Rattus norvegicus: one gene and its partner. The protein of the gene in region 1 interacts with the protein of each later gene in a pairwise test. Links are inferred from orthologs where the notes say so. Each region holds a gene or a part of one and is shown in the gene's direction. Other genes may lie near its edges.

Region 1 (3,513 bases):
CTAGTGTCCTCATAACTTAAGTGACCCTCCTTCCTACCTCAGCCTCCTGAGTGCAGACTGCAAATGTGCAACACCACATGTGGCTTTTCCCTCCCCAAATTTAGAATAAGCACAGAAGATAGCAAGAGGTTCTTGAGGAGTCTTTTGGAGTCTGAGACACTGGGATTGACACTATGTTATTGCTAATTGTATCCTTGAATTGGCTTTTGGTGAGTGTATTTTATTTGAGTTAGGGTCTCAAGTAGCTCAAGCAGGCCTTGAACTCTTTTTCTTTTTTTAAGATTTATTTATTTATTTTATGTATATGAGTACACTGTTGCTGTCTTCAGACACACCAGAAGAGGGCATCTGATCCCATTACAGATGGTTATGAGCCACCATGTAGTTGCTGGGATTTGAACTCAGGACTTCTAGAAGAGCAGTCAGTGCTCTTAACCGCTGAGCCATCTCTCCAGCCCAGCCTTGAACTCTTGATCCTATTGCTACAGCCTCTTAACTCTGTCTTTGTAACAACTTCAACAATTATGGTACCTAAACAATTTCTTCTATTTTTTAGGTGATTGAAGTTTATGACTTAACAAAAGTAAAGTTAAAGTATTGGTAAGTTTTCTCCCTTACTGGTATATGTTATATGTGGTACAGACCAGCTTTATCTACTGCCTTCATTAAAGTACTAAAGGATTACAAAAAGTAAAAAAAGTACAAAAAGTAAAGTACTAAAGCTTACCCAGCATATGAGTGACCTTGGGTTCATTCCTTACTACTGCAGCAACAAAAAAGACTGTCCCTTCCAGTGAGCCCATATTGAGAGCATGACAAGGACCCACTTCCTGGGGCAGTTCTGGAAGTATTTGTTAGTATAGGAGTGGACAAATATGTAATGACACTAGATCCGTTTGTCCTTTCAGTGTTACTCAATAGAACCTTTTTACCTCAAGGTCTGTCTTCTTTGTCCTTTTATTTTGGGCCAAAACGGCATTGGGAAGCCCCAGAAAGTTGACTCCATATAGGGGCTTCCAAGAATTGACCTATTTCTCACCTAATTAACTAATTCCCCTTATTTATAATTTATTTAATTTTAAATTTATTTGTTTATTTATTGTGAGACAAGGTCTCACTATGTCGCTTTGGGTAGCCTGGAACCTGGCTGGCCTTTAACTCAGTGATATCTGCCTCCCAAGTGCTAACAAGGTGCAGACCACCATGCCTTGTCATTTTCTTTTTATATAATGTGTTTTAAGAATAACTCTATGCTGAATACAGTGGCACAAGCTGGCAATCCCAATGCCTAAGAGGCCTAGATAGGAGGACTGTGGTATTTTCAAAGCTAGCCAGGGTACATAGCAAGATTCTATTACCTAATAAACAATAACATCCAGCCAGCCACCTTTCCTCATGATCTAAGACCATCTTGTTAAACCTGATATTAAAAAGTAATTGTATTTTTCAGTGGAGTGCATTTTAACTCTCAGGCCATCGCTCCTACCATTGAGCAAATTGACCAGTCTTTTGGTGCAACCCATCCAGGAGGTAAGCCAAACACATCTGATTCCTCTGGTCAGCCCATAGCAATAAACCTGTGGGTGGTGCCATCTCTCCTCATCTCAGGTCCTTGGATAGGTGTATAGCATCTCAGACCCTTGTTTTCATCCTATGTCAGTTGAGAAATTAGACAAAAGCAATTTCCCTACTGGAGTCATTGCTGCCTGCCAAGCTGGTTTATGTTGGAAAGCAGCTACCAGTCAGCTGTGTCATTTTTACTCCACAGTGTACAACTCTGCTGAGCAGCTCTTCCACCTCAACTTCAGAGGACTGTCTTTCTCTTTTCAGTTAGACTCATGGACGGAGGCTCCCAAGTATGAGGTCAGCACTTCTGGGTCCTTGTGGGTTGTTTTTTTTTTTTCCAGTGTCCATGTGGGATAGGGGAATGGGTAGGACACCTTTCTTTGGTTACCTCGGCTTTGAGTTCTTTAATGGTCAAGAGAGAGAATGGGTAGAGTTCACAGGAAGAACAAGGCTGTAACATGACTAGGAAGAGCGCATTTGGCACTGTAGAGGCCGGTAAGGCTCTCACCTTGTCAGCGGTATCTCCAGCCATTTTCTAACTGCGACATCCTAAACAGTTTGAAGAGTCCATTCTCTGGATCTTCAGTTACTTGTTACTGCAAAAGTTTAACAAGCCAGAAATGATGACACACACTTGTAATTCCAGAATTTAGGAGACTGAAGCAGAAAGATTTCTGGTTCAAGGCCAGCCTGAATTAATTAGTAAGCCCTGTCTCAAAAGACAGGAAGGGAAGAAGGCAGACAGGCAATAAAACTCAAAGATGAAAGATGCACTTGCTTATTTAAAGTAACTTAGTTGACTCAGAACCAAGTTTGATTGTGTGCTTTGACCAGACCAGTTCTTAATGACCGTGAGTGCCAGGGAATATTAGACACTGAATCATGTGATTTATATAATGTTTGTAGTAAAATTCTTGTCTTACTTGCAGCCCAATTTTGCCCATGGTCTAGCTTCTCTTCAGATACCCCATGGAGCAACTGTAAAACGAATGTACATCTATAGTGGAAACAGCCTCCAGGATACCAAGTGAGTGTGAGGAACATGAGCTTTGTGCCCATGGCCTTGCTGGAAGGGAGGCCCATGCCTTGTTCCTTCTGTGCCTCCAGGGCTCCTATGATGCCCCTGAGCTGTTTCCTGGGGAATGTATATGCTGAAAGTGTAGACGTTCTTCGAGACGGAACTGGACCCTCAGGGTTGCGACTTCGCTTGCTCGCTGCAGGTAGGTTCCCCACCGTATCTATCTATGTAGAAACTACTCTACCACCTGAAGTACATGTTGAGTGCTCATTCCTGGTTTGTAGGCGTGTTTATTATTACTTGGAAAGGGCCCATGTTTCAGGGGTTTCCTTGTATGGACACTAATTCTAATTGTAAGATCTCTACCTCCCAAAAAGCAAAGGTTCCTAATACCTTAACTAGTTCAGATTTGTCCAAGAGGTGGTGGCACATGCCTTTAATCCAAATAGACGTAGGCAGGCTTCCAGTGAGTTCCAGGACAGCCAGGACTACACAGAGAAACCCTTGTTGCTGTGAATTCTATTAATAACTATTTGTTCTTAATATGACCTGGCCAGGTCCCCAATAATTGAGACTGAGTCCCACTGATTTATTTAATCAGCTTTAGCACAATTTTACTGGCCAATTACCCTAATATATTACACTAGACTGGCTATTTCCTAGCTGTGCTCCCCAAGTTACTTGCTGTTTTGAGTTTAGCTTGGGCTGTTTGGAGCAGTCTGTCGTCAGGGTGCACTTCCCCCAGCCATATGATCCTACCCCATCCCATCTAATGGAGACAGACCTCTTTCTTGGTCTCTCCTTTCTTCTTCTCTCTCCTTCTTCCTCTCTTTGTGGTCCCTACTTCGAACCCCCAGCTCAGTAACTGAAACCCAACCTACCTCTGTAATTCCAAGTAAGTGACTATAGCCACTTTTATTTAACTAGTC
Region 2 (4,073 bases), on another chromosome or scaffold:
GCTTCCCTCAGTCGACTTCGGAGTTGCTTTTGGTCTTGATGTTTCATCACAGAAATTGTAACCCTAACTAAGACATATATGGCCATAGAAATGACTTTTTTGGCCTTGGCCATGACCTCCTGTCCCAATTCTTGACACTAACCTGTATGATAGGCAAATGTCCTTTTACTTATTCCTTGTTGGTCATACCTAGCTGCCTATTTCACATCTAGGCAGGAACATCATGTCTAAATTCTAGGCCCATTTATGATTTTTAAGATCATACTTTATTATAAAGATTTCTTTAGGGAGGATTAATGTTCTCAAACTTGCTGGCACTGGGCTGTCTTAGAACTTGCTATATAGACCAGTGTTGGCCTACCGGAATACCATAAAAAGAGATTTAGGCACAGGGTTAATAGATGCTCAGGGGAAAGATAAGGTAAAGCTGCGAGTGTGCGTGTAGGTTTCTCGAGCAAGAGCTCTAGTCTATGACTAGAGGAGACAGACTCCAGGGCCCCTTAAAATCTTCCCCATGCCATCGTGCAAAGCCTCAGAGTCTTCTTAGAATTATGGATCCCTGTATTGCCCAACAAGGCCTCTCTATTTCCAGATGTTCATGAACATCCATTCCTACAACAGTAACCATTAAGGACCCCAACAAGATTTCTTACAGGCCCCTTATTTAGATAAACTTGGCAGCAGGACTGAACACGGACTGCCAACCTAGACTCCCGGAAGGTAAACACAATGTCGTGGGCGGGACGGAGGGCGGGCTTGGGCAGTCTGAGTGGTCTGGTAAAAGTGATTGGCAGCTGCCACATCCACGTGCTTTTAGCTTCGAATCAGCTGTCGCGAGAATTCGATGTAAACACACCAGTGTGCCTGGCTTCGGGCTCCTCGCTGGAGAGTCCTGGCTGAGGTCCGCAGATGTTTGGTGCATGTTGAGTTCTCTTAAAACAGAAAATCCACCAGGGTGCTTCTTCCAGGCCCGTAGACACGCCTGCCTTTTCTTCCCTACTGCCTGTATTCACAACCGAACCTGACCCACCGCTTCACCCGAACTTCCATACTGTTGTGTTTTCCCTCCAGCCCCAGCGGATTGGATGGATTCTGAAGGCGGGTCCGCCTCTTTTCTACATGCTGGTTGGCGAAGCTGACCTCCAAGGGCGGTGCCGCGCCGGGGCCAGTTTGCTCCTGGGATTGGCTGACGTGGTGGTTCCGCCGAGGCGTGGTAGGAAGTGGTAGCCGTCAATCACGAGGGAGACTCCAAACAGTGAGCCTGGAGCTGGAGAACAGCGTTTACCGGCGGAGCGGCCGGTGAGAGGGCTGGCGGGTCTTTGGCTTGGGGGAGGTTTGGAGAAGGAGAGGGACAAGCAGCATAAGGGAACAGGGCTTGACCAGCCCCAATTGACAGGGAAAGGTGCTGAAACTGGAGGAGAGCTGGGCAAGAGGCCAGAGGGCGGCCGGGGGCAGTGGTGGTAGGGCTTTGGAGGTGAAGTGTGGAGTGTTGTTCTCATGACTTTGGGGGAGAGTGGGGCCCGAGGGGCTTTCGAGGAGCTGTTCTCAGGTGACAAGGCCTTTAAAGGACAGAGGTGGGGAGACTGGTTTGGGTAATAGAGGGTGGAATGAAGATTAGAGCACTGAGGGGGTCTGGTGGAAGGTACTGTCTAAGAATGGGGTAGTTGGACTAGTTGGGACAGTGGTGTTTGGGTTGTGTAGGAATGTGGGGATCATCAGTTTGGGAGTTTTCATGTGAGGTGGCACTGTGAACCCTTCTTAAAAGTGCTGCTTTTAGGCTATGGGGCTTTCCTGAACCTTGTAAGAAATCCTTGGTCCTGTTGTCAGTCCCTCTTTAACCTTAATCGAGTAGACTCTGTATTCTCCAAACCTCCTCTGTGATTCAGAAGCTCATTAGATAATCAAGGACCAGGACTTACTTGGACCATGGAAAAAGCCAGGGACTCCTTATATCTTATGAGTTTATATTCTGTATTTGTTTACACGCTGGTGATTACGTTACAGTAGCTGGAGGTAAAATATTATTTAAATGCAGCCACACAGTTTTACTAATTGTCATTAGCAGATTTATCTGAAGGCAGAGTGGTATCGTTGTTTGTTTTTAGGCTCACATGGGCCATCTGGCCTTTACATTGGTGGCTGCGCCCTTAAGGTTGGCTTTGAGTGCCTGATCCTCCTGACTCCTCTCAGGTGTTCATATGCATCACCACCTGTGGCTAGCAGCTGCTGCTGCTGCTGCTTCTGCTTCTGCTGCTTCTTCTTCTTCTTCTTCTTCCTCTTCCTCCTCCTCCTCTTCCTCTTCCTCCTCCTCCTCCTCCTCCTCCTCCTCTTCCTCCTCCTCCTCTTCCTCCTCCTCCTCCTCCTCCTCCTCCTCTTCCTCCTCCTCCTCTTCCTCCTTCTCTTCCTCCTCCTATCATCATCATCATCATTTTTTTTTTGGTTCTTTTTTTCGGAGCTGGGGACCGAACCCAGGGCCTTGTGCTTCCTAGGTAAGCGCTCTACCACTGAGCTAAATCCCCAGCCTATTTTTTAAGGTAATACTAAGAGTCTCAGGCTCACATTGCCCTTGAACTCATGGCAGTTCCCTTGCTTTACCCTCCTGGGTATGTTGCTGGTATGTTATGTCACAGTGAGCTTCATATTTGTTTTTCTAAGTGACCCTGTGTTACCTAGTTCCCGTTTAATCCTCCTCTTATTTTTCTAGTTTTAAATTATAGGAAGAAAGATTCAGCAAAAGAGTGAACTGTTCTCACTTTCAGATGTTAGGCAGTTCAAGGCCAGCCTCAATTACAGGGTAAGACCCTATCTTAAAAGAAAAGAAATTTCCTGGGTGTAGCGGTACACACCTATAATCTTATCAGTCTGGCACTCAGGTCTCTAGGAGTTCTAGGCCAGCTGGAGCTAAATAGTGAGTTTCTGGGAAAATCCATGGTTTGGGAAAGGGATATTTAGTGAATACGCATGAAACGCTCTTTCCTGACACTAATGGTGGGTTTTTTTTCTTCTATTCTGGAAACAGGTCTTATGAATGAAACCATGGCTACAGATTCTCCTAGAAGACCCAGTCGCTGCACTGGTGGAGTTGTGGTCCGCCCTCAGGCCGTCACGTAAGCGGAAGAAAACAGTTTTCTAGAAAACAGTTCCCACTCAGAATATCTGTTTGAGCTGGGTGGTGGTGGTAGTTCAGGCCTTTAATCCCAGCAATTGGGAGGCAGAAGCAGGAAGATCTCCGAGTTTGAGGCCCGCTTGGTCTACAGAACAAGTCCCAGGACAGCCAGAGCTACACAGAGAAACCGTGTCTGAAAACAAACAGCTCCTCCTCCAAAACTTCCAGAACATCCATTGGATAGTGCTTGCTTCTATAAACATTTTTTACTTTTTGGCTATGCAGGTGAAATGAATGTCACTGTCAAGGGCAAATAAACAATTGGAGGGTTAAGCTGATGTATTCGACCTACATCTATACATGGGGGTGACTGTGAGGACTTGGGGTGCATCTCAGTGCTAGAGCACTTGCCTAACTTGTGGAAGGCACTGAGTGTGGTTCCTAGCATCACCAAAAAGGTAAAGTCTAAAGGAGTTAAAAACTTACAGTTCCACGAGTTAGTGGATCATTCAGTTAGTTGTGATGGCCTTGATCAGTATCTGAAATAGAAGGAAATAGGAATTGGGAGTATGAGTCAGAGTTTGAGTGTTCAAATCCTGGGTTCCATCTCTAGTACCACAGACAGACACAGACACCTACAACACAACAGGAAGTTAGATATTTGTTGTGTGTTGAGTTATATTTATACATTTGTACTTACGTATATGATTACTTAACTGTGTTGTAAAAGGATCTCCCGGTCTCAATATAAATCTTACAAAGAGGGCATTTCTGTATTTTATGTATTCTATGACAGTACAGCCATACTTTTTTGGACTTTATGAACCATCATGGTTTAAAGAAATATATACTTGAAATTATTGTAATCTGTACGAAAGAGAAATGCCAGCCAACCAGCATGTGTATTTAGAGAGGGTGTTTTAGTGGTAGTGAGGCGTCACAAGAAGGTGACATTTTGGGGGTTGTT

Evidence for each region.
Region 2: the proteins of Phaf1 (region 1) and Bcas3 interact in binary tests that used the Homo sapiens proteins (3 or more experiments, as listed by UniProt). The link is inferred for Rattus norvegicus from reciprocal best matches to the Homo sapiens genes PHAF1 and BCAS3.

The regions. Positions count from the first base shown.
Region 1 is NC_086037.1:50,024,927-50,028,439, forward strand, and holds part of Phaf1 (phagosome assembly factor 1), read left to right. Parts: exon of another isoform or gene 1-173; coding exon of another isoform or gene 174-209; intron 210-556; coding exon 557-600; intron 601-1,450; coding exon 1,451-1,530; intron 1,531-1,768; coding exon 1,769-1,863; intron 1,864-2,495; coding exon 2,496-2,593; intron 2,594-2,673; coding exon 2,674-2,786; intron 2,787-3,513. UniProt on the Homo sapiens protein: Plays a regulatory role in autophagic activity. In complex with BCAS3, associates with the autophagosome formation site during both non-selective and selective autophagy.
Region 2 is NC_086028.1:70,710,264-70,714,336, forward strand, and holds the start of Bcas3 (BCAS3 microtubule associated cell migration factor), read left to right. Parts: upstream 1-1,261; 5' UTR 1,262-1,299; intron 1,300-2,656; exon of another isoform or gene 2,657-2,704; 5' UTR 2,705-2,794; intron 2,795-3,019; 5' UTR 3,020-3,024; coding exon 3,025-3,107; intron 3,108-4,073. UniProt on the Homo sapiens protein: Plays a role in angiogenesis. Participates in the regulation of cell polarity and directional endothelial cell migration by mediating both the activation and recruitment of CDC42 and the reorganization of the actin cytoskeleton at the cell leading edge.